4 linked regions of the Pelodiscus sinensis genome follow. The protein of the gene in region 4 purifies or fractionates together with the protein of the main gene of each other region. This does not show direct contact. Links are inferred from orthologs where the notes say so. Each region holds a gene or a part of one and is shown on either strand. Other genes may lie near its edges.

Evidence for each region.
Region 1: the proteins of SRC (region 4) and PDGFRB purify together in Homo sapiens (affinity purification with western blotting; 4 studies listed by BioGRID and IntAct, with this or other methods). This does not show direct contact. The link is inferred for Pelodiscus sinensis from reciprocal best matches to the Homo sapiens genes SRC and PDGFRB.
Region 2: the proteins of SRC (region 4) and STAT1 purify together in Homo sapiens (affinity purification with western blotting; 3 studies listed by BioGRID). This does not show direct contact. The link is inferred for Pelodiscus sinensis from reciprocal best matches to the Homo sapiens genes SRC and STAT1.
Region 3: the proteins of SRC (region 4) and ARRB2 purify together in Homo sapiens (affinity purification with western blotting; 4 studies listed by BioGRID and IntAct, with this or other methods). This does not show direct contact. The link is inferred for Pelodiscus sinensis from reciprocal best matches to the Homo sapiens genes SRC and ARRB2.

Annotation. Positions count from the first base shown.
Region 1 is NC_134727.1:35,019,613-35,027,436, reverse strand, and holds the start of PDGFRB (platelet-derived growth factor receptor beta), read left to right. Parts: upstream 1-4,815; 5' UTR 4,816-5,272; intron 5,273-7,824. UniProt on the Homo sapiens protein: Tyrosine-protein kinase that acts as a cell-surface receptor for homodimeric PDGFB and PDGFD and for heterodimers formed by PDGFA and PDGFB, and plays an essential role in the regulation of embryonic development, cell proliferation, survival, differentiation, chemotaxis and migration.
Region 2 is NC_134717.1:67,124,065-67,131,283, forward strand, and holds the start of STAT1 (signal transducer and activator of transcription 1-alpha/beta), read right to left. Parts: upstream 3,002-7,219; 5' UTR 2,793-3,001; intron 2,002-2,792; coding exon of another isoform or gene 1,962-2,001; intron 1-1,961. Other genes in the region: uncharacterized protein LOC142830272, read left to right, coding at 1,962-2,001. UniProt on the Homo sapiens protein: Signal transducer and transcription activator that mediates cellular responses to interferons (IFNs), cytokine KITLG/SCF and other cytokines and other growth factors.
Region 3 is NC_134734.1:8,207,618-8,214,474, forward strand, and holds the start of ARRB2 (beta-arrestin-2), read left to right. Parts: upstream 1-3,843; 5' UTR 3,844-4,348; coding exon 4,349-4,429; intron 4,430-4,585; coding exon 4,586-4,646; intron 4,647-5,115; coding exon 5,116-5,160; intron 5,161-5,413; coding exon 5,414-5,610; intron 5,611-6,857. UniProt on the Homo sapiens protein: Functions in regulating agonist-mediated G-protein coupled receptor (GPCR) signaling by mediating both receptor desensitization and resensitization processes.
Region 4 is NC_134728.1:24,429,291-24,437,245, reverse strand, and holds the start of SRC (proto-oncogene tyrosine-protein kinase Src), read left to right. Parts: upstream 1-4,951; 5' UTR 4,952-5,458; intron 5,459-7,955. UniProt on the Homo sapiens protein: Non-receptor protein tyrosine kinase which is activated following engagement of many different classes of cellular receptors including immune response receptors, integrins and other adhesion receptors, receptor protein tyrosine kinases, G protein-coupled receptors as well as cytokine receptors.

The sequences.
Region 1 (7,824 bases), on a different chromosome or scaffold from region 4:
ACCTCCACAGGGAACCTGGTGCCTCCAGGTATGGACTCGGAGCAGGAGCTAGGGGAAATCAAGCTCCTTTACACATGGGCTACGTCTACACTGGCATGAATTTCCAGAAATGCTTAAAACGGAACAGTTTTCCGTTATAAGTATTTCCGGAAAAAGAGCATCTACATTGGCAGGATGCTTTTCCGGAAAAGCCTTTTTTCCGGAAAAGCGACCGGGGCCAATGTAGACGCGCTTTTCCGCAAAAAAGCCCTGATCGTCATTTTTGCGATCGGGGCTTTTTTGCGGAAAACACTACTGTGCTGTCTACACTGGCCCTTTTCCAGAACAGTTTTCCGGAAAAAGGACTTTTGCCCGAGCGGGAGCAGCATAGTTTTTCTAGAAAAGCAGCTGATTTCTTACAGTAGATCGTCAGTGCTTTTCCGGAAATTCAAGGGGCCAGTGTAGACAGCTCGCAGCTTATTCCGGAAAAGCGGCTGCCGAATAAGTGGCCGAGTGTAGACACAGCCATGGAGTTCCAGCAAAAATGGCATGAGGGAGCTATATGGTTTCATGCCCCCCTGATCTGCCACTTTCTTCCACTACCCCATTCCAGCCTGATCTCAGCACCAGATCTCTGCCCCGGCTGCTGCAAGAGCCTTTTCTGCTTCACAACCTTCCTTTATCCCTGTTCCTCACCTCCCTCTATCTCTTTCCAGATCTCAGCTGCTCTCCTATCTTTCCTCCCTAGCCTGTACCTCTGGCTGCTGTTGCAACTGCATTATCTGGGAGACACACTGGAGTAGCACTTGTGTGCAAGATACTGCACAATCAGCAGCCCCATTGTATGGTAACAGCCTGGGGGTTCCCACACCCCGATCTCCCCTCCCCTTGGCAGCCAGAGGAGATCTCTGAATAAATAGTCTGTACTTGGGTTTTCATCAATGGAAAGCTGAAGAAACTGCTGAGATAAAGGAGAGATAAATAGCCAGCCTCTAACTGTTAAGGCTCACAAATGATTAGCCAGCTCTATTATAAACACACACCCCTAACCAGCTATTAAGTGATGACTCTCTCTTGTACACACAGCAGCTCTTAGGTGGGGGCTGCGACAGGTTTTTAGGGGAGTGATTTTTCCCCCTTTCTGCTGAAGGAACGCACTAGCAGTGTGGATATGAGTATTGCTTTTCCAGAAAAACAGCCGTTTTTCCAGAAAAACTCTGCAGTGTAGACGTACCCCTAGGCTATGTTTACACTGGCGGGTTCTTGCACAAGAACATCATGCACAAGGGTTCTTGTGCAAGAACTCTTGCACAAGAACACGTCCACACTGCCAGGTGCTTTTGCACAACAGCGCCCATGGCAGTGTGGACGCTCTTTTTCTCAAGAAAGCACTGATGACCATTTTAGCTATAGGGCTTTCTTGCACAAGAAACCCCTGCCACGCATCCACACTGCCCTCTTGAGCAAGAACTCTTGCACAACAGAGCTTACACTTGTTAGAAAAGAGCGTAGCTCTTGCACAAGAAGCCCTCTCTTCCCACGCTTTACTATAAATCTTCTTGCGCAAGAGCTAGGGGGCCCACGTGGACGCTTTGCGGAAGAATGGCCGTTCTTGCACAAGAACCCGCCAGTGTAGATATAGACCTAGTGTGGATGAAATTATACCAGCATAAAGGAACCTGAGGTCTCTTTTACTCTAACAAATTTTTCTAGCAGGCAGGCTTGGGGCTGATGGGCCTGTAATATACTCACGCTCCTGGCCAGCTTACCTGTGGCAGCAGAAGCTCTCGCATAAATTAAGTTACACCAGTAAAAAATGTCCATTTGCCAGTGTAGCCTATTCCGCTGGAGGAATTGGTATAAACTAGAGCTCTTCTGGCTCTATTAGCTGCATCTGCACTATACCAGGCTCGCTATCGCAAGCAAACTCTTTGTGTGTAGACAAGGCATGACTCAGCCTTGCACCTTTCATAGAGCTATAACTGCATCCACATTAGCGCGGTGGTTCTCAAAGTGTCCGTCTTGCAGGTAGGTCGTGGGCTTGGGGCTCCAGCCTTGTGCCAACTTTCCGCTGTGGGGGGAAAGGGGCAAGCCTCATGGACTGGATCCAACTTGTGGGTTAGGAAGCAGCTGTGTGTGTTGCTGCTCTCCCTCCCCTCCCCCTACGTTGGGGGAATGGCAATGCAGGAAACCACCCACCTGGAGGCTTTCCCCACTGCTCCCATTGGCCGGAATCATAGTCAATGGGAGCAGTAGGGGGTGGTGCTTGGGAGCAGTGGGAGGCACAGAGCCAGGTAAGGGCCCCCTATCCGTCGTATGTCAAGACCCCACACTCTCGGCCCACTCCTGCACCCAACCCCCTGCCAAGACCCCTCCATCCTCAGCCCACTCCTGCACCCAACTGCCCACCCAAATTCCTCCCTGCAACCTCAGCCTGCTCCTGCATCCTACTTCCTGGCCAGACCCTGCACTCCTACCCCTTCCTGCACCCATTTTGTCATGATGGGTGGTTGGCTGGTGGTCTCTGCTGAGCAGGGTAGGCCATGGGCCAAAAAGCTTGAGAACCACTGCACAAGAGGGTTGTAGCCAGTGCAGATTCTAGGGCTGATGTAGCAAACCTAGGGGGGCTGGGGCTAGATAGGCATGGGAAATAGGAGTGCAGGGGGTGCTGCAGCACCCCCAGGTTTTGCACCAAGCTTCCCTGCACCCGGAGGGCTGGCCCTGCTGCCCATCCATCGCTTGCTTTGCCAGTCCCTGTTCCTGGCCTCATAGGGTACGTCTAAACTACATGCCTCCGTCGACGGAGGCATGTAGTCTAGACACACCCATGGAGTCCCACCAGGCCTCCAGGATCAAGCCAGCCCCACTGACTTCGTCACAACCTACTGGCCTCATGGGTTCCACCAGCCCTCAGATCCCATTGCCAACCAGTCTTGCACCCATGGGCTCCTCAGCTGACTGGCCCTGCTAGCCCTAGAGTCCAGGTCACCAGCCCTGGATGCCCCATACCCACCCTGGGTCCTGCCACTGGTGGGGGGCTCTGCCTGGGGGCAGCCTAAGGCTAGGATTGCCAATTCTCCCAGCCACCTGCCCCATTGATGTGAATGGTGTCCGGTCAGTCTGGTCTGGGAGAGTTTGCAACTATCAGAGAGACGCAAACAGGTCCAAGGGGAGGGGGTTCACTCATCACCCCTCACCCTAAAAATTGCTCCGGTGCCACTGTGGGGCTATGAACTGCCAAGCCAGGAGATGCCAGGGCTCAACTCTGCTGAGCATGGGCACAAATTAAGCTCTGGGTGGAGGGGTCTGTTTGCACCAGCCGGGTCAAAGCTGTGAAAGCAATGTCCATAGGCAGTCATTAAAGCAGTGGTTCTCCATTTTGCGGGGGGGTGGGGGCACAGGCTTGGAGCTCCCCTCCTTCCCGCAGCGGTGAGCCTGTGCTGGCGCTCCAGCCCCACGCCGGCTTCCCACTGCAAGGGGGTCGGGGTGAGCCTTGTGGGCTGGATCCAGCTTGCGGGGTAAGTAAATGGCTCTGTGTGCTGCTGCTCCTCCTCCCGGCTGGGGGAACAGCAGCACAGGAAATGGCTCCGCTGGAGGCTTTCCCCGCTGCTCCCATTGGCCAGAATTACAGCCAATAGGGGCAGTGAAGGACGGTGCCTAGGAGCAGTGGGAGACACAGAGCCAGGTTAGCATCCCCCATCCTTCTCATGCCCAGATCCTGCACCTCCATCCCCCTCATTCCCACCCCTCCCACCCAGACCCATTCACTCTCAGCCCTCTTCTGCATCCTACTTTCTAGCCAGACTCCGCACTCCCACCCTTTCATGCACACGTTTCATCATCATGGGGGGTTGGCTGGTGGTCCATGGAAAGGTTTATGTTGAGAAGTTTGAGAACCATTGCACTAGAGAAAGGAATACTCCGTACAGATGTAGTCGCCTTATCTCACCAAAGATATCCTAGCACTGGAAAAGGTTCAGAAAAGGGCAACAAAAATGTTGAGGGGTTTGGAGCAGGTGCCATATGAAGAGAAATTAAAAAGGCTGTGACTTTTCAGCTTAAAAAAGAGGAGACTAAGGGAGCATATGATAGAGGGGTCTATACAAAAGGGAAAGTTATTTACATGTCCCCGTAACATAAGAACTAGGGGTCGCCACATGAAATGAATAGGTAGCAGGTTTTAAAACAAACAAAAGGAAGTTTTTCTTCACGCAGCTCACAGCCAGCCTGTGGAACTCGTTGGCAGAGGATGTTGTGAAGACTAGGACTTCAACAGTTCAAAAAGAGAACTAGATAGATTCATGGAGGTTAGGTCCATTAATACTTATTAGCCAGAGTGTGTAGGGAAGGTGTCCCTGCCTCTGTCAGAGGCTGGAAATGGGTGACAGGATGGATCACTTGATTCCCTGTTCTGTTCACTCCCTCTGGGGCACCTGGTGTTGGCCACAGTCTGAAGACAGGATGCTGGGCTAGATGGATTTCGGTCTGATCCAGTATGGCCGCTCTTATGAGTCCATGCCAGCATCTGTGCCCAGGCGATCAGGACAGGGGCTGGAGATGCTGTATCAGGCCTGGGAGGGCATATGTGCAGTCCCTTTAACACAGGCCTTCTTTAATGAAAACATGAGTCAGCTGCTGGCGTGGGCAGTGGATTTTCTAAACATCCCCTCATATCCTGAGAAAGGGGAAAAAATGGGAGGGGGGGGGGGTTTGAAATCAGGGCAGGGCGAAAGGCCAGAACTGAAAGCAGGGAGAGCCAGCAAGAAGCAGCCCCCCAAGGCGGCTCCTCCAGCCCAAGGAGGAAAGGCAGGGGGCTGCGCTCAGCTTTGCTGAGGCTTTGAGCCGGGAGCTGGGCTCCGAGCCCCTCTCCCGCCCCCGGTTCTCACCGAAACTCCCCCTCAGAGCCTGCTTCGGTTTGTTTGGAATCGAAAGTTTTGGAGAAAGCTCCAGCTGGAAGGAGGCGGGGAGAAGGGAAAGGCGGCTCCAGCCTTGTGCCGATTGGACACGGGCTCCCCCCTCAAGTTCCCCCCCCCCCCAATTGTATCCCCCCCGCTGCCGCGCTGGGGCTGTCTCCGCAGCGCACTTCAGGGCGCCCGCCGAGGCTCCAGGCTCCTCTGCGATGCTCGTCTAGAGGCAAAGCCAGGGCACCTCGGGACTCCGCGGCGGCTCCTGGCTGCGCGGCGCTGGGAGGAGCCGGGCCGGGCCGAGCCGGGCCGGGAACGCTGCCCAGACGGCGATAAGGAGGCGGGAGAGGCGCCGCTGGGGACTGGCGAGCGAGCGAGCCCAGCGCACGGTAAGTGGCGCGCCCCGCGAGCTCCGCTGCGCGCTGGGGGCTGGAAATCCCGGGGGGCTGGAGAGAGGGGTGGGGGAGTCACGGCCGCTCTGCTGGGGGCCGAGCTCGGGAGCCGCCGGCGTCGAGGCGGGCGGGGGAGGGCGAAGGGACCTGGCAGCGAGCGAGCGAGCGAACCCCGCCAGCAGCTGGATGCGCGCACGGGCCCCGCTGCGCTCCTAAGATGCGCGGCCAAGCGCCCGGCTGCGGGGCGCGCCCGGACGGCAGGACCGCAGCCCTGGGAGCTAAGCGAGGGGCAGGGAGCAGGGGCCCTGGCGTGCTGCTGGGCCGGCCTGGGAGAGGGGCAGAGCTGTGGGGGCTTCCCGCTGACAGGCTTGGCCTGGGGGGAGACTTAGCTCTGAGGGAGCTGGGGAAGGGGATGGGGATCCTGGGACAATCATGAGAGGCTTAGGCTATTCCCGAGCAGGGCAGGGGCTGGGCCCTGGATACCAAGGCGCTGGATGGTGCAGAAAGGTCTGGGGAGACAGTGAGCTACCAAGCCAGACAGCTGGTTCTCTCCGACAGGGCTGGTGACGCAGCAGGGGCGGCTTTTCCCCGGGCAGGTCCGTCCCCTGCCTCCGTATCCAGCCAGGTGGCTGGTCCCAGGGCGAGCCAGGGGCTCATGGTTTGTGCGAGTCAGGCCCCCCCCACCGGAGCAAAAGCTGCAGGATCGGGCCCGAAGGAAATTCTCCCCGTTCCTGCTTCTGGGCTGGTAACCACACGCCCTCCTCTGAGCTTGGTCACAGCCCTGGCTGTCCTGCCCAGGGACAGCTCACCCTGCTGGGCTCCGGGATGAGCCCTGGGCACAGGCCGCCCACACTGATCTGGGTAAAAGCAGAGGGAGCAATCCCAAGGGTTGGCGGGGATGGAGGCTGCAGGGCATCTCTCCAGGACCTGGCCATCAGAGGAGAACACAATGCTGAGAAATGCCTCTGCCGCAGGCCAAGGGGGGAGAGGGGACGCAGGAGAGGGACAGTGACCTAGGAAACCTTTCACCTCCTGGGTTTCTCTTTCGCATCTGTCCCAGCAGGATGGCTGGTTAGTGCTCTCTGGGATGTGAGCAGGGGGCTTTGCTCAGTCCTGCCTGGAGATCAGGGCTCAGGTCACACCACCCCAGGGGCCTGCTTTGCTGGATGGAGATGCTGGGGTCTGAATGGGTCCCAGACTGAAATACCGTCAATCAAAGTCACATGGGTGGGGCACGGCAGGAGAGGCAGCACCCCCAGAAGCAGTAGCCTGGGACTCCCCCACACTGGGGCAGGGATGACACCTGGACGGAGAGGGCTGCATTAGGCTTTGAAGTGTGGTCTTAGATCTTCTTCTTAAACCCTTGTCACTCCGAGGGAGCATAGGTCGTCTACAGGTCTCCTCCACTTCACTCTATCTTGAGACAACACTTCTAGCTGACTCCAGGAGTACCCCAGTTGTTGTCCTTCAATCTCAATCGATCTTCTCCATGTTGTCCGAGGTCTTCCTCTTTCGCGTTTTACTTGCAGGTTCTATGTGAGAGCTTGCCGGACTGTGCTGGATGATGGTTTTCTGAGTGTGGCCTCGCCAGCCCCACTTTCTTCTCTTGATTTGAATGTCCAGTGGTCCTTGTCTTGCTCTTTTCCAAAGCTCTTCTTTGGGACACAGTCTTGCCATCTGATGTGAAGGATGGACCGCAGGCGTCTGTCTAGGAATGTCTGTAGCTTGTGAGGTGAAGACTTTGTAGTATGCCAGGTCTTGTACCCATACAACAGCACGTTCTTCACATTTGTGTGGGCGATTCGCAGTTTCGTCTTCGCAGATATTATTTATCAACGTCCACCAAGTTCAGTCTATTCTAGCCTGGCTCCCCAGCCAAGTGCCACTCATCTCCGTAGGATCAAGGCTCGGATGGGGCCCTGCCAGAGCAAGGACATATTTTAGGCTCTGATTCAAGCTGAGCCCCACCTCAGTGGAGTCAGGCTATTGGGTGTGCCAGGGAGGGCCAGAAGGGGGCTGGGATGGTCTGAAAGTGAGATTGTGAAGGAGACAGGGCGTCCTGAAGGAGCCAGGAGTCCGTGGGCAGCATGGATGGGAAGGAAGCTGCGTTTACTGTCCAGCGTCACATCAGAGGGCTATTAATCTGGGACTTTCCAAGGGGCGTGGGGAGCAGGGCCATGTGGAATGGGCCATGGCCTAAGATGCAGCTTTTTCTCTCCTCTTCTCTCCCCCACCCCCCGCTATTTATCTGTACCCTTGACCCCTTACTCCAGCCATCTGAAGAAGTGGGTTATGCCCACGGAAGCTCATGACACCATCTACATGTTTTGTTAGTCTCTAAGGTTCTGCAGGATTTTTTGTTGGTTTTTAGATTTTTTTCAGTTACAGACTAACACAGCTCCGCCCTCTGAGGGTACGTCTACACTTGCTCCCTCGTTGGCGCTAGGGATGCAAATGTAGGCGACCAAAATTGCTAATGAAGCGGGGATTTAAATATCCCGCGCTTCATTAGCATGATCTCGCCGGCGCGTTACTCCCCTCAACAGCTG
Region 2 (7,219 bases), on a different chromosome or scaffold from region 4:
AGCGCAGCCCATCTGGGAACTGGCAGCACATTGCAGCACAGTAAGCAGCTAGCCTGAGTGCCCCTGGTCAGGCAAACTCCCTTGCCTGGGACCATGCAAGTCCCGAGTATGCTGGACCAGGGAGGTCCAACCTATATCTATGTGGGGGAGAGATTTCTCATATTAGAAGGCTCTTCAATTTAGCAAAGACATAACTGGGTCAGGAAGCTGAAGCAAGACAAATTCAGGCTAGAAATAAGGTTTTTAACATTGAGAGCAAACTGAGCAAATTTTTAGCATTGAGAACAGTTAATCACTAGAAGACGTTACCTACAGATGTAGCGGATCCATAATTTAGTCTTTCAAAGAGAAGTCTGGGGGATACGTCAACACAACTAAAATTTGAAGAAAACTGAATTTTTGTTTTAAGTTTTACAGCACTTTATTATTTTTGTACTTTTTACACCCAAAAATGTAATCGCCCTCTTGGCTACGATTAACTCGTTTAAATAAATGTGTTCCAATGGTAGAAAAAAAATTTGTATGTCTGAAAACTAGGTACTGGGGATTTTTTTTTTTTTTTTTTTTTTTTAAAGGGGTACTTTATAAAAATGGTTAAGAAACACTGCTCTAGCTCAGTGATTCTTAATAGAATCACAGAACTGAAAGAGACTTTGAGAGGTCTTCTAATCTAGCCTGCACAGCAGGACTAAATATTTAAGTTTTCCCTGACAGATGTTTGTTTAACATGCTTTGTGTAATAACAGTAAAAGCACCCTGACCAGCCTAAATTAATTCTGTGTTTTAATATGTACTGGGAAAAAAAAAACACAGGAAAGACACTGCTGTACTTCAACCAGAAATTATGGAGGTCATGGCAAGAATTACTTAGCAAAACTCTGAAGTTTATACTGCAAGATCAGATGATTACAATGGTCCCGTCTGACTTGGATTTTAAAGTTACTTATTAGTTTCCTAAGTCCCTCTGAAAGTGATTTCTCTAAGGGCACATCTACACTGGGAAGTTATTTTGAAATAACTCCTGAAATAACTATTTCAAAACAGCACTATTCCACTTCACAAGTGGAAGTTATTATTTCAAAATAATAACTTCCACTTATTTTGAAATAAGGGGCTTGGTAACGTGGATGCTCGTCTTTTTATTTAAAAATACGGAGAGCTATTTCGAAATAATTCCCTAGTGGGCTACGTCTACATTGCCGGCTTTGTGGGCAGTGCCTATGCAAATGAAGCACAGATTAGCATTTTGCCACACTTCATTTGCATAATGTATTCAAACTGGTTTTGCACAAGAGGTTTTTGCGCAAAAACAATAAGTGTGGATGGAATTTTTTTGTGCAAAACCCCCATTTTGCACAATATCCTTATGCCTTGCACCCACTGGGGTAGGTAAGAATGCCTCACATAAGGACCTTGTGCAAAACGGGTTTTGCGCAAAAGAAGAGTCCACACTGCTTGTTTTTAAGCAAAAACCTTGTGTAAAAATGGCTTGAATAAATGATGCAAACGAAGCATGGCAAAATGCTAATCCACGCTTCATTTGCATAGGCTTTGCAGGCAGTGTAGACAAAGCCGAGATGTAAGCGACTAGTCGAATAGTTGACTACCTGATAAGCCTGGGCTTCTCGGGTAGTTGAGTCACTAGTTTACTAGTTGCTTCTCCCCCCCTTGTTACTTCTATCAGAGGCAGCGGGGAAGAAGGGAGCAGGAGCTGAGGAGAGCAGGCTTAAAAGCCATCGTCTACTTGATTAGCTCATTAAACGCAATTTAACATCCTTAGTGCAGACATGCCTTAACTCTGCACGTTCACTTTGAAAAGATGTGCACGTATCTTACATCTTTCCATTACATTTTTCATGCTGCCTTCTTAATCCTATGTTCCTTCATCATTCTGTCCTAAAATACCGTGACCAACTTGTACCTCTCTGTGTGTATTTATTTAGGAAAGAGTTACAATAGGAATGAACCTTGAGTCTCAGAGGAATCAGGTGCTGCAGTTTCGTAATCCTATATATCTAGGGAATTCAATTAAAGAGGTGGGAAGGTCAAGTCCTATAAAGCAGTGTCTTTTTGGGGGGGGTTGTTCTGTGCTTCCCTCTGAGGCAGTCAGCATAGTTCCTGTAGGATCTGTGATGCCATTTACACGTCACTTTCCATGTCTAAAATCTCCCTACCTATTTTTAGAAACACGAGCTAAGACATCAGCACTCACTGGGGTAGGCAAGGATGCCATACAGGTCAGCTCTTGTGTGGCTCCTGCTCCCAACACCTGGCTGGGCAAGGGGGTGACTCTGCATTTCTATGTCCTAGGATCAGGGTTTTTCCACTGACTGGAGGAGGGGTTTGGGTCTTAGGACCACTGGCTCGGTGACTGTGAATCCAGCCACGTGGAATCTTTGCGAAGCCAGTGCAGCGAGGCTGTAGTTACAGGAGCGCAGCAGCCAGCAGCCATCACCAGGACTTGGCCAGAGCCTGCCTATTCGTGGGGTGTCTGTGGGGAATTAGAAGCGTGTCAATGGCAACAAGGGAACAACATTTCCAGCTGATGCGTCAACTTCCCAGCGGGAGTGTGTCCCGCTGGGACCGGCGAGCTCAGAGGTGGGGGGAAGGGGGGCTCATCCGGCTTCACTCAGCTGCTGCTGCCCCGCTCGCTGGGGCTCACGCCGCCTCACCGCTACCGCGTGGCCCGTGGCTGTGCGGGAGGCGGGCCCCGGCGGAAGGAAGGGCCCGGGGCAGCGCTGCCCGGCGCTCAGGGCCCCAGCAGGGCGGGGACGCGGCGCCGGGTCACTCACCCGACTGGCGAGAGGAGGCTCCGGGCCGCCGTCACCGCTTCGCTGCTGCGCCGCCGCCGGCAAACCGAAAGCGAGCGAGGACACGGCAACAGAACGCCCGTTGCGCGGCCAGCCCCCGGGCCAATCCCGAGCCGCGGGGCGGGCCTGCCGCAGCCACAGCCAATCCGCGCTGCGGCACCGGCTGTTCCTGAAAGCGCGCTACCCTCCCGCTGCTCTGCGCTGCCTCCCAGAGCCCCCCCCACAGAGTCCCAACCACAGCCCTCCCCCCTCCCCCAGCCCCCCACAGCCCTCCCCCCCTCAGACACCCCGCACCACAGCCCTCTCCCCTCAGACACCCCGCACCACAGCCCTCCCCCCCTCCCCCAGCCCCCTGACCCCACAGCCCTCCCCCCTTCCCCCAGCCCCCCACAGCCCTCCCCCCTCCCTCAGACACCCCGCACCACAGCCCTCCCCCCCTCCCCCAGCCCCCTGACCCCACAGCCCTCCCCCCTTCCCCCAGCCCCCCACAGCCCTCCCCCCTCCCTCAGACACCCCGCACCACAGCCCTCCCCCCCTCCCCCAGCCCCCTGACCCCACAGCCCTCCCCCCTTCCCCCAGCCCCCCACAGCCCTCCCCCCTCCCTCAGACACCCCGCACCACAGCCCTCCCCCCCTCCCCCAGCCCCCTGACCCCACAGCCCTCCCCCCTTCCCCCAGCCCCCCACAGCCCTCCCCCCTCCCTCAGACACCCCGCACCACAGCCCTCCCCCCCTCCCCCAGCCCCCTGACCCCACAGCCCTCCCCCCTTCCCCCAGCCCCCCACAGCCCTCCCCCCTCCCTCAGACACCCCGCACCACAGCCCTCCCCCCCTCCCCCAGCCCCCTGACCCCACAGCCCTCCCCCCTTCCCCCAGCCCCCCACAGCCCTCCCCCCCTCCCCCAGCCCCCTGACCCCACAGCCCTCCCCCCCTCCCCCAGCCCCCTGACCCCACAGCCCTCCCCCCTCCCCCAGACACCCCGCACCACAGCCCTCCCCCCTCCCCCAGACACCCCGCACCACAGCCCTCCCCCCCTCCCCCAGCCCCCTGACCCCACAGCCCTCCCCCCTTCCCCCAGCCCCCCACAGCCCTCCCCCCCTCCCCCAGCCCCCTGACCCCACAGCCCTCCCCCCTCCCCCAGACACCCCGCACCACAGCCCTCCCCCCTCACCCCACAGCCCTCCCCCCTCCCCCAGACACCCCGCACCACAGCCCTCCCCCCTCACCCCACAGCCCTCCCCCCTCCCCCAGACACCCCGCACCACAGCCCTCCCCCCTCACCCCACAGCCCTCCCCCCTCCCCCAGACACCCCGCACCACAGCCCTCCCCCCTCACCCCACAGCCCTCCCCCCTCCCCCAGACACCCCGCACCACAGCCCTCCCCCCTCACCCCACAGCCCTCCCCCCTCCCCCAGACACCCCGCACCACAGCCCTCCCCCCCGACACCCCGCACCACAGCCCTCCCCCTCCCCCAGACACCCCGCACCACAGCCCTCCCCCCTCACCCCACAGCCCTCCCCCCTCCCCCAGACACCCCGCACCACAGCCCTCCCCCCTCACCCCACAGCCCTCCCCCCTCCCCCAGACACCCCGCACCACAGCCCTCCCCCCTCACCCCACAGCCCTCCCCCCTCCCCCAGACACCCCGCACCACAGCCCTCCCCCCTCACCCCACAGCCCTCCCCCCTCCCCCAGACACCCCGCACCACAGCCCTCCCCCCTCACCCCACAGCCCTCCCCCCTCCCCCAGACACCCCGCACCACAGCCCTCCCCCCTCACCCCACAGCCCTCCCCCCTCCCCCAGACACCCCGCACCACAGCCCTCTCCCCTCACCCCACAGCCCTCCCCCCTCCCCCAGACACCCCGCACCACAGCCCTCCCCCCTCACCCCACAGCCCTCCCCCCTCCCCCAGACACCCCGCACCACAGCCCTCCCCCCCTCACCCCACAGCCCTCCCCCCCCAGACACCCCGCACCACAGCCCTCCCCCCTCACCCCACAGCCCTCCCCCAGCCTCCCACAGCCCTCCCCCCCTCACCCCACAGCCCTCCCCCCTCCCCCAGACACCCCGCACCACAGCCCTCCCCCCTCACCCCACAGCCCTCCCCCCTCCCCCAGACACCCCGCACCACAGCCCTCCCCCCCTCACCCCACAGCCCTCCCCCCCCAGACACCCCGCACCACAGCCCTCACCCCTCACCCCACAGCCCTCCCCCCTCCCCCAGCCCCCCACAGCTCTCCCCCCTCCCTCAGACACCCCGCACCACAGAGTCCCAACCACAGCCCTCCCCCCTCCCCCAGACACCCCGCACCACAGCCCTCCCCCCTCACCCCACAGCCCTCCCCCCCGACACCCCGCACCACAGCCCTCCCCCCCCAGACACCCCGCACCACAGCCCTCCCCCCCTCACCCCACAGCCCTCCCCCAGCCTCCCACAGCCCTCCCCCCCTCACCCCACAGCCCTCCCCCCTCCCCCAGCCCCCCACAGCCCTCCCCCCTCCCACAGCCCTCCTCCCAGACACCCCGCACCACAGCCCTCCCCCCTCCCCCAGACTCCCCGCACCACAGCCCTCACCCCCTCCCCCAGCCCCCCACAGCCCTCCCCCCTCCCTCAGACACCCCGCACCACAGCCCTCCCCCCTCCCTCAGACACCCCGCACCACAGCCCTCACCCCCTCCCCCAGCCCCCCACAGCCCTCCCCCTCCCTCAGACACCCCGCACCACAGCCCTCCCCCCTCCCTCAGACACCCCACACCACAGCCCTCACCCCCTCCCCCAGCCCCCCACAGCCCTCACCCCTCCTTCAGACACCCCTGTACCACAGCCCTCACCCCCTCCCCCAGCCCTCCACAGCCCTCCCCTCTCCCTCAGACACCCCGCACCACAGCCCTCCCCCTCCCTCAGACACCCCGCACCACAGCCCTCACCCTCCCTCAGACACCCCGCACCACAGCCCTCCCCCCTCACCCCACAGCCCTCCCCCCTCCCCCAGACACCCCGCACCACAGCCCTCCCCCCTCACCCCACAGCCCTCCCCCCTCCCCCAGACACCCCGCACCACAGCCCTCCCCCCTCACCCCACAGCCCTCCCCCCTCCCCCAGACACCCCGCACCACAGCCCTCCCCCCCTCACCCCACAGCCCTCCCCCCCCAGACACCCCGCACCACAGCCCTCCCCCCTCACCCCACAGCCCTCCCCCAGCCTCCCACAGCCCTCCCCCCCTCACCCCACAGCCCTCCCCCCTCCCCCAGCCCCCCACAGCTCTCCCCCCTCCCTCAGACACCCCGCACCACAGAGTCCCAACCACAGCCCTCCCCCCTCCCCCAGACACCCCGCACCACAGCCCTCCCCCCCTCACCCCACAGCCCTCCCCCCCGACACCCCGCACCACAGCCCTCCCCCCCCAGACACCCCGCACCACAGCCCTCCCCCCCTCACCCCACAGCCCTCCCCCAGCCTCCCACAGCCCTCCCCCCCTCACCCCACAGCCCTCCCCCCTCCCCCAGCCTCCCACAGCCCTCCTCCCAGACACCCCGCACCACAGCCCTCCCCCCTCCCCCAGACTCCCCGCACCACAGCCCTCACCCCCTCCCCCAGCCCCCCACAGCCCTCCCCCCTCCCTCAGACACCCCGCACCACAGCCCTCCCCCCTCCCTCAGACACCCCGCACCACAGCCCTCACCCCCTCCCCCAGCCCCCCACAGCCCTCCCCCTCCCTCAGACACCCCGCACCACAGCCCTCCCCCCTCCCTCAGACACCCCACACCACAGCCCTCACCCCCTCCCCCAGCCCCCCACAGCCCTCACCCCTCCTTCAGACACCCCTGTACCACAGCCCTCACCCCCTCCCCCAGCCCTCCACAGCCCTCCCCTCTCCCTCAGACACCCCGCACCACAGCCCTCCCCCCTCCCTCAGACACCCCGCACCACAGCCCTCACCCCCTCCCCCAGCCCCCCACAGCCCTCACCCCTCCTTCAGACACCCCTGTACCACAGCCCTCACCCCCTCCCCCAGCCCTCCACAGCCCTCCCCTCTCCCTCAGACACCCCGCACCACAGCCCTCCCCCTCCCTCAGACACCCCGCACCACAGCCCTCCCCCCCTCACCCCACAGCCCTCCCCCCCCAGACACCCCGCACCACAGCCCTCCCCCCCTCACCCCACAGCCCTCCCCCAGCCTCCCACAGCCCTCCCCCCCCGACACCCCGCACCACAGCCCTCCCCCCCTCACCCCACAGCCCTCCCCCCTCCCCCAGCCCCCCACAGCTCTCCCCCCTCCCTCAGACACCCCGCACCACAGAGTCCCAACCACAGCCCTCCCCCCTCCCCCAGCCCCCCACAGCCCTCCCCCCTCCCACAGCCCTCCTCCCAGACACCCCGCACCACAGCCCTCCCCCCTCCCCCA
Region 3 (6,857 bases), on a different chromosome or scaffold from region 4:
TCCCGCTATCACCCGGAGCCGGGACGTGAACCCCGAGTCTAGCGCGGCGCCTGCACCCGGAGCCGGCATGGGGGAGAAGGCGGGCACCAGGTGGGGGCTGGTCCGGCGCGCTACAGGGCGCGGGGTGGGGAGGGGGAGCTTGCATCCCAGCAGGAGAGGGAACCCAGGCGTCCTGGCTCCCCCCCAACCACCAGCCCCCACTCCCCTCCCACAGCCAAGGAGTCCTGACTCCCAGCCCCCCCCAACCACCAGCCCCCACTCCCCTCCCACAGCCAAGGAGTCCTGACTCCCAGCCCCCCCCCAACCACCAGCCCCCACTCCCCTCCCACAGCCAAGGAGTCCTGACTCCCAGCCCCCCCCGCTCTGACTCACCAGCCCCCACTCCTCCCCAGCGCTGGGGAGGGAACCCAAGAGTCCTGGTACCCAGCTCCCCTCCCCCCACTGACTCATCAGCCCCCTCTTGCCTCCCAGAGCTGGGGAGAGAACCCAGGAGTCCTGGCTTCCCTTGCATATGAGTGGGAAAGGCCTGATCCTGGTGCAAGGATGTAGGTCATGGCTGGGGGAGGGGCAGCTAATCCAGGAGTAAGGCAGCAGCACTGCCAGGCACTGGGGGTGGAACCAGATTACGGAGATATCGGACCCTGGTGCCAGCCCTGCCTCGGACGCCTGGGTTCCTCAGGACACCTTGGGAAGCTGTCATTTAACACCCAGATGCCTCGGTCCTTTGAGGCCTTTGGGAAGGGCTCCCTCCAGACAGGTGCAGGGACCTGGCCCATGATATGATATTCTCCCCCTGCCCTGTCTCTGCGTTGGGTGCTAGGGATAGGCTGGAACCTGGCAGCAGCTGTCAGGCATGTTTGGTCAGAGCGCTCTGGAGTTTATTGCCCCAGAGATAAGGGCAGGAGGCTAGAGAAGAGGGGGCCAAGGGCTGCCTGGCTCCACCACTCCTGCCAGTGCCCCTCACTCCCAATCCGCAGCCCCTTGGCTCTGAGGCTGTTTGGGATAGTGGGTCTCTCCTGGCGTGGGGGTGGGTCAGAAAGAGGAACTGGAAGCTGCGTAGCTCAGCAGGCAGACTGCAGAAGCTGCTCTGAGGAGCAGAGCAGATGTGGGGGGAGGGCTGGGATTGGGGGAGCAAAGGGATCCCAGCCCTAAGTTTTTCTTTACAAACACTTTCAGTCCCAGCCCTAGGGAGTCCCACACTCTGCATTCCGTCCCTGGTGCAGAGATGCAGCCACCTCTTGGGGGAGCGGAGAAGTTGTACAGAAACCTATGTTGAGGAGGGAGGGGGGCCCAACGCTGTCCCATCCCCTTGGGGCAGTGCTGTCCCTTCCTGAGGCCATAGAGAGGGCTCAGGATTAGGGCCAACTGGCTGAGTGCTGAACCGCAGGGGTGCACGGTGACCTCCCCCAACTGTCACCCAAGTGCCTCCCTAGGACTTCCTCACAACATCCTGTCTAGGAAACAAAACAGGAAACGCCACGTCCTGTTGGAGACACGTGTCCTAACCTTGTGCCAGCCCTGCCCCATGCCAGTGCCCCTCACTCCCAAACAGCAGCCCCTGCCAGCCCAGTCCTGGGCTCCCCTCAGCTCTGCCAGTGCCCCCCATTCCTGACTCTCAGACCCTGGCAGCCCAGCTCTGGACTCCCCCAGCTCTGCCAGTGCCCCTCACTCCCAACCTATAGCCCCTGCTACCCCAGCGCTGGGCTACTATGAGTGCTCCTCACACCCAACACAAAGCTCCCTACTGCTGTTTCTGTTCCCATGTGCTGGGTTCCCTGTTTACATCCTGGCACCCCATATGTCTGTACCTTCCAGGTGGGGCTGCTTCTTGACTCCTCCTCCTCAACCTGGTTGTTCTGAGGAAGGGGGCCAACAGCCAGTGGGGTCAAAGGTCAGCCTGGATCTTCCCCAGTGCATGAGACATGGGACTAGCAATTTCCATAGCAACCTGAATATGTAGGGGGAATCCAGCACTGAATCCTCCCCCCAAACTGTATGAAATGTTTGGGGAGATGCTCTTAGAGGGAGGCTCTTAGAGGGAACTGGGCAAGCCTGGTGGGGCAGAAGTTGGTTCTCTCCCCTTTCTGGAAAATTGGGGAGGGCTTTATGGAGAGCTGTGGGGGACCCTTCCCCCCAGATCCTGCCCCCCTCATTCTGAATCAGCTGGGTTGTTCCCCCTTCACTCCTGGGTGGTCCCTGAATTCACTCCTCCCCACCCCCCTGCTGCTCCTGTCACTATGGTTACACTGGGACAACCAGCCTGGATCCTGTTTCTGTGGCAACCAGCTAGACCTGAGGCAGACAGGTGGATTCCCCCCCCCTTTCCCCCAGCTGAGCTACTGCTTGGAAGGCAGAGGTCAAAGGTCAGCCTGGTGGACCCCTGAGATGGGGGGAGCTGAAGTTGGGGAGGCCCATGTCAGTCAGTTCTGACCTATGCCCCTTCCCCCACCCCTTTTCCTCCCCAGGGTCTTCAAGAAATCAAGTCCCAACTGCAAGGTGAGTGACAGCCCGGTGCCCCTCACTCCCAACTCGCAGCTCCTGTGCCCCACCTGACCCCAAGCCAACCTAGCCCCATCCAGTGCCTCTCACTCTCGACCTGCAGCTCCCAGCCACCCCGGCCCTGCCCGGTGACCCTCACTCCTGACCCCCAGTAGGGATGTTAAGTATCGGGTAATTGACTAGTCAATAGGACACCTCTGCCTTTGAAGTGTAACAACAGCTTGAGGGCTGTTGCTACACTTCAAAGGTGAAAGCACCAAAGCGCTAGGGTCAACTGGGGACTCCCCCACTGACTCCAGGCTCCATGCAGCATTGCTGCTTTGAAACGGCATTTCAAAGCAACAGCGCTGCACAGAGCCCAGGGTCAGCTGGGGAGTCCCCAGCTGATCCTGGGCTCCCCACAGCATTCAAAGCAGCAGTGCCACACGGAGCAGCTGACCCCACGCTCCATGCAGCGCTGCCGCTTTGAAGTACCCCCCCTTGTCGCCCCCCTTGCTGCCTCTTTCTGATAGAGCCAGCAAGAGGGAGGAGCAACTAGTCAACTATTCTGTCGACTATCCGATAAGCATTTGCTTATTGGATAATTGAATAGTCTTTCACATCCCTTACCCACAGCCCTTGGCCCCACAGCCCGGTGCCCCTCACTCCTGACTCACAGCCCCCCATTTCCCATCTGACGTGTAGACTCTGGCCGTGCCCGGTGTCCCTCACTGCCGACCCGCAGCCCCTGGCCAGCCTTTCCCTGCCTGGTGCCCCTCACTGCCGACCCACAGCCAGCCCAGCCCCACCCAGTGCTCCTCAATCCCAACCTACAGCCCCTGGCCTGCCCAGCCCCGCCCAGTGCCCCTCACTCCTGATCCGCAGTTCCCGGCCAGCCCAGCCTCATCTGGTGCCGCTCACTCCTGACCCGCAGCCCCGCCCCTCCCAGTCCTCCTCAATCCCAACCTGCAGCCCCTGGCCAGCCTGGCCTTGGGTTCTGGGTAAGAATGTTAACTGGAACAGCCATCCGCCCGTTGTGGGTGTGGGGCTGCTTCCGCTGTGGGCGGGGAGGGCAGGGTGCTCCAGCCTGGCCTGAGCAGCTCTTGTTTTTGTTTGCTGTGGGTCCAGCCCAGCCAAAGAAGGGGTTGCTCCAGCCTGGCCACGGGCAGGGGCTACCCTGCCCAAGTGCATTTAATAGGTTAACCAGTTAAACTTAATGTTTAACCAGTTAACTCATTAAATGGGATTTTACATCCCTAGTTCTGGGTGTTATGGTCTCTTCCCCCCCCCCCCCCCCCCCAACCTCAATGGTTTCCTCTTGCGGCTCTTCCCCCGCCTGGCTTCCTCCCTTGCGCACTGACACGGGGATCCTGCCATGTCTCTCCCCTCCCCCCATGGGCCTTTGCACACACTACTGAGTGCCCGTCCACGCAGAACTTGGCCTGAGGCTTGTGCATAGAGAGGTGGGGGGGCTAAGGTTGGGATGGGAGTGGGGCCCTGTATTGTCGAGGGGCAGAAGGTGCAGTGTAAGGGGGGCTCTGAGCTAGGGAAGAGTCATCCCAGGTTCTTGAGGGAGAAAGGGGGAGAGGCCCTGAGCTCCAGGCAGTGAAGAGTTAACCACCACCCACTTCTTCTCCCTCCTTCCCCCCCACACAGTTTGTTTACATTGGGTTTCCACACACCTGCCCCCCCCCCTTTCCTGATTGGCTGCCCCCCTCCCTAGGGCCCCCTCAAATTCCTAGGGGGCGGCAGAGCTGCAGATAAACAGACTCTGGAAGGAGCAGCGGGTGTGGGGGGGTGGTAGGTACAGTGAAGGTGCGTGGGGGGGCAGCAGGCGTGGCTGGGGCAGGGAGGGCATCTCAGGGTGGGGATGGAGCCCCTGGAGCTGGACAGGATTCGATGTGAGATGTCTGGGAGCCTCCGGGTCTTCAGAAAACAGCTGGGAACCCAGGTAAGGGGGTGCTAATTGGGGACTGACAGCTTGCATCAGAGCAGTCCTGATCTGGTAGAGTTCCCCCCCACCCACTGGGTGCTGCAATGGGCTATTTCCCCACGTGGGTGTGAGGATCTGTCTGTCCCCCTTCCCCATGTCTGTCTGTTCCCACAGCTCACTGTCTATCTTGGCAAGCGTGACTTTGTGGATCACCTGGACCGGGTGGACCCTGTGGGTGAGTTAGGGGGTTAGGGAGTGGGGAGGGTAGGGGCCTTAAAGGATTGGTGGAGGCTGGGAATTGGGGATATTGGGGGGCTGGCAGTTAGGGGGTCAGACATGGAGGAAGGTCAGTGGGGGTCTGGAGTTCAGAGGGCCGGTTGGCTCTAGGAGTGCTGGAGGTTGAGGGGCAGAGATGGCTGAGGGGCAGTGGGGTGCTAGGGCTGGAGGTGTTTGGGGTGCTGGGAGACCAGGGACTGGTTGGCTATTGGAGTGGGGTGGTGGTTACGGGGATGAGGGTTCAGGGTTAGGAGACATGGAGTAGGGAGTTAGAGGGCTGGTCAGAGACTGGGGGTCAGAATGCTGAGGTGGCTGGGGGAAGTCTGGGGGTCCAGGGACTGATTGGCTCTGGGGTGGTTGGGGTGCACAGAGCTAGTGGGGATCAGGGGATCCTGCCCAGTCTCACCCCTGCCCTGATTCCCATGCAGATGGAGTGGTGCTGGTGGACCCCGAGTACCTGAAGGATCGGAAAGGTGAGAGGGGCTGGGGGGGGAGGCTCCTGCTCTGAAGAGGGGTGAGATTCCAGGCTCCACCACTGCCCCTTTGACCCAGACTGGCTAGGGGCGAGGCTGAGTGATCAGGCTCCACCCCTGGCATGTCTGTTCTTGGGTAGGGGGAGGCATCTTGGGGAAAAGGAGGGTGGGAAACAGCTTGGGGAATTCTGAGTAGAGCTGTCTGAGGCCTTCACCCTGTCTTGCTGCCCTCTTCCCCACCCCTCTTCTGCAGTGTTTGTGACTCTGACCTGCGCTTTCCGCTATGGGCGTGAGGACCTGGATGTGCTGGGCCTATCGTTCCGCAAAGACCTTTTCGTCGCCACGTGCCAGGCTGTGCCCACCCTGCCTCAGGAGCAGTGCTCCCCCACCCGCCTGCAGGAGCGGCTGCTGCGCAAGCTGGGAGCCCATGCCCACCCCTTCTCCTTCACGGTGAGCGCCCCGGGGACTCTCCAGGGACCCTCAACCTTCCAGTGCCCTCTTTCACCTTCATGCTGAGCCCCCAGGAACCCCAGCACCCCCTAACCCTAGGGATGTTAGTGGCTAGTTGCCTAATCGTTTAACCAATATGCGATTGTTTATCAGTTAACAGTCCCAGTTAACTGCAACACACCCCTACGTGCTCTGCATTTAAAACTCGGACCAGCAGGTTTGCTCAGTCGCAGCCCATAGGTCCAAGTTTTAAATGAAGAGAACATGGGAGCCCCCTACCACGCCACGCTACTGCCTTTGAAACAGCTCAGAGCCTGCGGGGCAGCAGGTGGGAGTCGATACGTGCCAGCAGCTGGTTTAAAAACCAGCTCCAACCTTCCACCTGCACTAATGCCTCTGAATCAGCCTGAGCTCCTGTCCTACTCCTGGAGTCCTAGACAGGAGCTGCTGTCACCAACACGGAGTGGCAGGGGGCTCCCCAGGAGTAGGACAGGAGTTCACTGGCTGCCAGGCCCAACCTCAGGAGGGAGCATTTTAGTAACCGTGTACAGGGCGCCCCCACTCTAAGTCCCCCTGTTATACATCTGTTCCACACTGAAGTCGTTGCCACTTGTAGGAACTGATGCATTATAAATCCTCCCATTCCCTGCTCTTCGGTCATGCCAAAAACAAAACAAAAAACCCAATTTGAGCACATGGAAGTCATCCGTGGGGAACAATGCCCTGGTTTCAGTTTCACTATAAGTCCAGGTTTTTTTAAACATATCTTGGATTTATCGCAAGGCCGGCCTGTAACCACTAAGCACTGCTGACACTACACAATTACTAAAATAAACCATTTCTGACATCCCTGCCTACTCCCCCCATACCCTCTTTCACCTTCACAGTAAGTCCTCAGAGCGTCCCCTCATGTGGCAAAATGGGGATTTTATGCCCTTTATGTTGCTTGTTAGTTCTGGTGTCATGCCATGTGTTGCCTTCGTTTCCCTGGGCACTGTACCAATGCCTAGACGGGGCTGGGCATTTCAGTGTGACAGCCTCCCCCACATCCACAGTGGCTGATACTTTCTGGAAGTTGAGCCTGGGAGGGGTGCGTGTCTAAGTAACATCTTTACACCAGGAAGCACCACAAAGGCTGGAGGAGGGGCCTGGCTGGGACTACCCTGACTCTGGTCCCCCCTCTCCCCAGATGGATTGTACTGGCTGCTGCTGGTTTCTATGTTGACAAGTCTGTTCTACACTGTATC
Region 4 (7,955 bases):
GAAGCAGGGTTGGCCCGGACGCATGCAGATCCAAGGGTGCTGCCCATCCTGTGCACTGTCCCAGTGGGGCGCATGGGTGAGTCCAGCCCCGGAGATTGCATCCTGCCCTACTCCTCCCTATTGCGTAGTTGTATACCGCTTGGCTGATAGACATGCTCACACAGCATGAGCGTGTCTATCAGCCAGGCAGTACGCAACTACATACTGATACTCGTAATAATAAAACTAACTTAATTATAACGTTAATTGAGAAAATATGTCCAGTATTTTCTCAATTTGTTTCCTGGACATCTAGCTGGTTGCTGTTTGACTTTCTGGTAACAAACTAACAGTGCCAGCCAATAATAAACACACGTGGGCAGTGCTTCTCATATTCACATTGCTTTATGGCTTTGGTCCTCACAGCAACCCTGTGAGCTAAGCAAATACTAAATATTGCCTGTGTATCGGGAATTGTAGACCTCCAAGAGTGAAAGGCAGTGTAAGGGAGCCAGGCTTTACTGGTGAAAAAACAGAGGCCTGTCTTCAGCATGGCAATGATCAAAAACTATTAACAAAGACTGCAGACAGCATGCTCCAATGGTAACCTGATAAGGAACCTATCAAATGAACAGCTACTCAGTGCTATGGCTCCAAGTGACTATCCACTGGACACTCATAATGAAATTAGCTTTTGGTGTGACTCCTTCTTCCTTATGACTCATTGGCTTGTCTGCCTTCTGCAGTGTCACAGGAAATGCTTTCTCAATAAATGAAAAAAAATCAGCCATGCACATCTCTGGAATGTTTTAACGTTTCCAACTTTCTCTAAGTGTCAGTTCTTGCCTGAAGTAACATGAGTTTGAAAATCAAACCACCACAGAGTTCCATGGGATTTCCTGGCATGAGATGCTGTTTGCTGTAGAAGTACAGACAGTCCGTGCTGTCAGCCTGTGATTTAATAGGTCATAGAAAAGCTACAGGTGTTTGGGGGCTTAAGTAATGGGCCCATTTTCTTCCTTGGATATAATATGACAGGGAAGGATTGTTGAGACAGGTGAAGGAGGGGTTATCTCTGTATAGATACTCATGCAGCAGACATATGCTCAGTGAAGTAGGTATATACGGTAAGAGTGATGTTAGTTCTTGTATTCAGAGCTCTCAAGATCCATAACAGTATGTCCAGGTTGGAAGTGAGTCACAAGGACAAGTTAGCAGAAAAGAGCTCACTCTCCTGACCTGTTCTTCCAGGTTCTTCTGTCTAGAACTAGAGGAACGTGGACTCTTCCTCTGTCAATCTAAATAATCTTTCTCGGAGTCCATGGAAATAATAGTTTGAGGTGTCCACATTTTGGCTTGCCGATACCTTCTGCTGGCCAAATGTGCATCTATAAATCAGTGCCCATTAATGGTTGAGGTGGGATGCCGGAAAATGTCCCTCTTTGGAGAGATCCCAGTGCATGAAAAAGAGAAAAAGGTACTGACTACTGAGCTATGTGGATGGAACCCTATTTCATTTCCACTTCTGTCTGTATATTCAGCCCTGTGCTTCCTCATATTGATCTATTAAGTGCTTCTCCCTGGCTTCATTTCTCCTGAGCCAAGAGGAAGTTGGTTTGAGTGACTGCAGGGGTCTTTCCCACCAGGGATTTACCAACGCTCCTAAAGTTTGACCGGAAGTGGCCATGTGGGTGGAGAGGCGAATGCAGTCTCAGTTTTTACTCAATCCTGTGAATTTGGGTATGGAGCAATTTATGATTCCTTCCCTCCTCCCCCCGTGGCTTCCCAAGGATAGCTCAGCCTTGTAGTGATGGACCATAGCCTCTTGGGATAGGATGAGTGCTCCAAGTTCTTTAAATCCTGATTCCAGGTGAGTGGGGACAGAGAATGAATTAGACACAGAGTGAGACTTACAGACTATTAAACTTATTATCCTATCTTAGATATCACTCAGATATATGTGATTACTACTGCTTCAAACATGTTGGGTCTAGAAGAGATTCCCTTGTTATCTTAAAGGTAGCTGCAAAACAACATCCAATTAAGGCTGGTATTCTTTTCCACTTCTCTATGATGCGTAACGAAAGCCTGACAGGTTGTTTGGTTCTGGATTCTAGTTCAGTGGTCACCAACCAGTAGATCTGGATCTACTGGTAGATCTTGGAGCCTCTGACAGGTGATCCTGACTGGTTAGGCCAAGAGGCTGTCAAGTGCCGGCACTTCAGCTACTCCTCCCCCTACTGCTGCATATCTCTTGCCCTTTGCCTTGGAACTGCCTCCCCCACCCCTGGGAGCCTCCTGCTTGCTTTGCAGGTCAGGAGAGGGAGAAGAGTGGCGCTGATGTCAAGGTGCCCCCTCTCCCAGCCTGTATCCTATCTCCAAAGAGCAGAGAGGGGGCACAACAGGACTTGGGAGGGAGTTTGCTAGCTGTTTTGGGAGTGGTGCAGGGCCAGGGCAGGGGTGAGCCTGCCTTAGCCCCACTGCACCGCCACCCAGGAGCCACCCGAGGTAAGCAGTGCCCAGCTGGAGACAGCTCTGAACCCCTGCCCCAGTCATGAACCCCCCTCCTGCACCCCAATCTCCTGCCCTAGTCCTGAGCCCCTTGGCTCCAGACTCCTTTACAAAGCCTGAGCCCAGAACCCCCTCCTGCATTCCAACTCCCTGTCCCAGGCTGAGCTCAGAGCCCCTCTCACACTCCAAATCCCTTAGCCCAAGACCAGAACCTGTGCCCCAACCCTCTTGCCCTGCCTGGTGAAAGTGAGGAAGGACGGGGTAGGAGGGAGGATGGAGTGAGCAAGGGTGGGGCCTTGGAGAAGGAGCACAAAGGAGGAGGGACAAGAGTATTTGGGTTTGAGGTAGATCTTGGATTGCACTTAAATTCAAAAAGTGATCTCATGCTTAAAAAGGTTGCAGAGGACTGTTCTAGTTTCTAGAGGGGAGGGGTTTTTTCACTTTAGAAATATCAGGCGCATCAACTTAAGAAGTTTTCCCTCCTTTCTTGGAGGATTCAGACATGGGTTTAGATCTCTCTCAGGCAACTGAAAGGGCTGGAGTAAGTAACAAAATAGTTTTTCTTCCAACTGTTTTTTTTTTGGGTGTCAGAGTTAAACAATAAAAATGACCCCAATGCAAAAAAAATAAAAATAAAATAGATTACATGAAAATCACTTTCCTTTTCCATTAATCGGGTTCCATTTTTATGGGATATCATCATCTAGTTTGTTCTCCATTTATCCATAGAGCTTCTGAGAAAAAGAACAGATACAACTGGGAATACAAATGTAAAAACTGACGCAGAACCTCCACTGACTCATGCACCTTTTTGGGGACCAGGTAGCTGAGGCCCTCTCAGGAGAGGCATCTTGAACTAGTAAATACATAATTAGGGCCCTACCAAATGAATGGTCTATTTGGGGTCAATTTCATGGTCACAGGATTTTAAAAATAATACATTTTGTTATTTCAGCTATTTAAATCTAAAATTTCACCCTAACCCTAAGGCAGCTCAGAAGTCTGGGTGACAATTCAGGTTGCACCTCTATAAAAACCAGAACTCTCTGGTATGGCAACTTCCTTGGTCTGGAAGATCAAAGAATCTGGGTCCACTGCGGGGGGAGGGGATGTAGAAGACAGGCACACTGTGGGTGGGGGTGGCAATGACAGCCCAGCTGGACTGGGTGTGGAAGAGCTGGGAAGCCCAGCATGCAGCTCAGCAGGGCTGCAGGGAGAGCCAGAAAGCCCGGGGGAACAGTGTAAGAGGGGTGGCAGCAGGGGGGCAAAATCCTTCATTGTGGACCAGTCAGGTCCCAGGGGTGCCAAACCAGGGAGGTCCAATCTGTACAACAATTCCCCCTAAAATAACTTTGCACATACACACCCTGGGGCTTCCTTTTGGGTTAAGACCCACAATTTGAGAACTGCTGGTCTCCCCCAGTGAAATCTATATAGCATAGGATAAAAGCATACACAGTCATAGTCAGACATGTTTTTCCTATCCCTGAATCTGGTAGGGCCCTAAACATCAGTAGCACTGGAAGTCAAGAGTTCCAGTCCCAGCTCTTCTGTGTGACCTTGGACAAAGTCACTGTCTCATTTCCCCTCTCTCATCAGTCTTCTCTCTTTAAATCACAAACCCTTAACTTTCAAAGGATTGTCTCTAGTCCTAACCTTGTTTGAGGAGTTGTATGAATTCCAGGCCTTCTCATTAATGCTTCTGATGGGCTCAGGTACTAGGGGGAAGAGTGCTGGGGAAAAGGCCAGGAATATCCCACATTTTAGGACACAGGATTAGCTCAGTGAGTGATCACTGGGGAGCCCTTAGACACCTTAGGGAGTGGTGGAGACTCATCTGCAAACAGACTAGATTCTTTTTAAACACAGCTTTTATTTGTGCTCTGGGAGGCTACTTAGAGCAAGCCCATGGGCAACCCCACCGGAATCCTGCCTGCCTAGCCTGGCACTGCCCAGATTATGGGACGCTCTTTGGGGCAGGGAACAGTCCTTTTGCCCAGCTCCATGACGGGGTCTCCGGGTTGCTTAGATCGCACAATAAACAAGCCACAATAATTCCACTCTGGGGGCCCCGGGAAGCCAGCAGCAAGCCCGGGATTTCCCTCCAGCTCGGGATGGCCAGCAGAGGCAGCTGCTCTATGCGTCGCCTCCAGCCTCTGCAGCTCCAGCCCCGCCACCCATCTAGCGGCCCCGGGGGCTGGGTACCGGAGCCGCGTCGAGCGAAGCGACGTCCAGCCCTGTCTTGCAAACGTCGGCGCTTCGCTCCGGACTACGCCAGTTTCCAGCTGGCTGCGCGCCCGGAGCCCTTTTTCCTTATTAAAAAGAAACTGGGGGGGGGGGATCTCAAACGGGGGGGGGGGGGGCTGGTTCTTTTCCCTTCATCTGTTTCCGGTTTGCTGCCATATTCCCCCTTTGGGGGGGCGTTGGGGGAGGGGGAGCCCTGGCAAATCGCTAAGAAGCGAGGATCCCATTCGCGGCGCGGGGAGCAGCAGAGAGGAGGGGGCGGGCCGGCGCCGCCCAGGCACCTGGAGGCAGGGCGGGAGGGGGCGATCCTGCGCCGGCCTTGCCTGGCCCCGATGCTCAACCCAGCGGCATGAATCACGGCGGGGAGAAGGTGTCTCCGCCGCAGGCGGGCGTGCACCGCTGCTGACATCACGGCTCCGAGTCCCCAGCCATTCGCTAGCGCGGCAGCCGGGCAGGGGCTGGGGGAGCGAGCAGCCGAGGGGTTAATTCCTCCCCGCCCCCCGCCAGAGACAAAGCCGGAGCCGGGTTTTGTGTCTGGGAACGCCCGGGACTCGGCCATGAGCCGCGTGTCCGCCTCGCAGCTGTCCGGCCCCCTGCCGCTGGGCCAGGGCGTCTCACCGGGCTGCGGGCGAGGCGTGTAGCTGCGGGAGCTGCGAGCCGCCGGGGAGAAAGGAGCTGCCCGAAGGAGCCATCCGGCCCCGGTGCTTTTCCGCGGGGAGGGAAGGTAAGAGACCGCCCGGCGCGCTGGGGCTGGTGATACGCTCGGGGGCACCGACCAGCCCCGGGGGGCTGCCCCGGCGCTTTGGCATCTCCCTGCCTGGGGGCGGTGGGTGCCTGCTGGGGCTGTCGCCCCCAATGGAGGGTTTACACTGCTCCGCCCGACGGCAGCGGCTGCTCCTGCGTGTGGCAGCCGGGAGCCTCCCGGAGCCGCAGCCTGAATTAGCCGAGGAGCTCCGGGCTAAAGGTATTGTCTGCTAGGGCTGGCGAGGCGGCGGCGGGGGAGCTCGGGGTGCGGGACTTGTTCCGAGCCCCGCACTTTCTTCTCTTGTGCGGGGCTGCCTGAAACGGTGGGGCAGCTCTGTCTAGCCGAAGACTTTCTATAGTTCATTTATTCAAACCAGTCGGGGAAACGAGGAGGGGGGGAGGAGCTATATGTAGGCCAAAATATGAAATATTAATCACTCCGCTGCTTTGATGTCTTCTGAGCCAGTTCCCTTTTACTATTTGTTAAATATTCATTTAAAACAAAACAACGACGTAGCTGCTCTGTGGGGGGTTGTGTGTTTACATCACGTCGTGCAGTGTAAGAGAATCGCTGCTCCTCCCTCTTCCTCCCTCCCCAACCTGGTCCTGTTTTATTTAGTGTTTATGATTTAAAGACTGGAAAACGATTCATTAACCGCTCTGTAACTTCTGCTGCCTGATCAGAATATCGATAGAACATCGATACAAAAAAAAGTAACACTGTGCCTCTTAGAATCTGTGCCATATCTGTAGTAATCGGGAGCTGTCAGGCAAAATACTGTAGTTCTAGGTACACAAAGAGGCTGAGGTAATATTTTGCATTGGAACAACTAATGTTGGTGAAAGAGACAAGCTTTTGAGCTACACAGAGTCCTTCCTCGTTCTTCTGAAGCCAAACACCTGGGGTCTGAGCTGACAAACTTCAATGGGCTTTTGTTGTTGTTTTACTCCCTAGCTATCCTGGGAACATGGGGCGTGGGTGGTGCACATGCTCTGTGATCATTCTGAGACACTAAGAATTTTATGATCTTGATTCATTCATTTGTAACCTGCTGGGAGATGTGTGAGTAAGCCCAGCGGCAGGGATAGTCAGGATGTGCTTAATACATCTTGGCACCAGGAAGGCTTAGGGTGCCTCTTCTGCTGGATGTTCCTGGTACTGTGTGGTGTTTGCCAGCAAACTTCTATATGGCTTTCTACAAAAAATGAATGAGATGGCTGTCTTGTCCCTTGATTCCCTTGCTCCTTCCCTTCTCTTATGTCAGAGTACCTGCACAATGACTTACCTCCCTAGCTTTGTTGGGGTTCTGTTGCTATAAGTATTTACTAATGTTTCCTCTAATTTTTTCCATCAGTGGGCAGAATAAATTTTGTTATGTACCAAGTGCAGATGTGTACCACCAATAGAAACACACACTATCTTTGGATAGCTGGGGGCACTCTACTAATCAGCTGGGTGGCATTTGGATCTCTCCTGGGCAGCCACCCAAGCACTCAGCTTACAGGGAACACTGGTACTTACTGAAGCACCAACAGATATGAAGCCCTCCTAAATCAGTTTCCATTTTTATAAAACCTAGGGCTTTAGAAGCCCATATTGTTAGTTTCTGGGCCTGCAGCCATTACTGTAGTGACTGAATGCCCTTAGGAAATAGGCTGCATTGGAACCCAGAATTATCTCACACAGTCTCTTTGTATTCGTATAGACTAGGAACAACCACCCAATAGTCTATAGTTTGTAAAAAACCCAGATGGTCAGTGGGGGGAGTGGGGGAAGGAGGAGAGGGAGAGGGTGAACATGTATATACGGTCTTTCCTCCAAAAGAGGTGGCAAAGGCTAACTATTTTACCTGTTCCACAGAACAGCTCAATACCAGGGTGATCCCACAGACTGTTAAGGGTATTTTAGGTCATCCTTGACTATAACACCTCCCTGGTAAAGGTTTCCAGGTAGCTGCTCTTGGTTTATGGGGCACAATGCTCACCTGGAGGGGTTGAGGGTTTCTTTTTGGCCAGGCCTGTTTGCTGCCAGCAAGTGCTAGCTTTCTGAATGCTCCCTATCATGCCAGGCTTCAGGGTAGGGGGTAGGGGCCAGGCTGAGGTGTCTATGGTTTTAACCCTGCTGGTTGTGGGTGAAGGACTTCTTTGTGCCATTTATAAATTGCTGCGGGTGGTGGTGATAACAAACCTGATCCACACCAGGAATACAGCACTTGTCACAGGTTGTCAAGTTGTCTAAAACTTTGTCTGCATGGAGAAAGCATTCGGTGTTTGTTGGTGCCCCCCTCCTCCCCCTTCACACACTCACCCCGGTGTTTGCAGGAGAGGAAACTGTAGTATGGACAGAAAGCGGGCATGTCTTGAAGCTGCTCTGCGAGCAAAATGAGAGGACACGATGGTTAGGTGTCTGCATCCTGTCTACACCACAGCGTTCACGGTGGTCAGTGCCATTGGAGGAAACCACTTACCACTTTCTC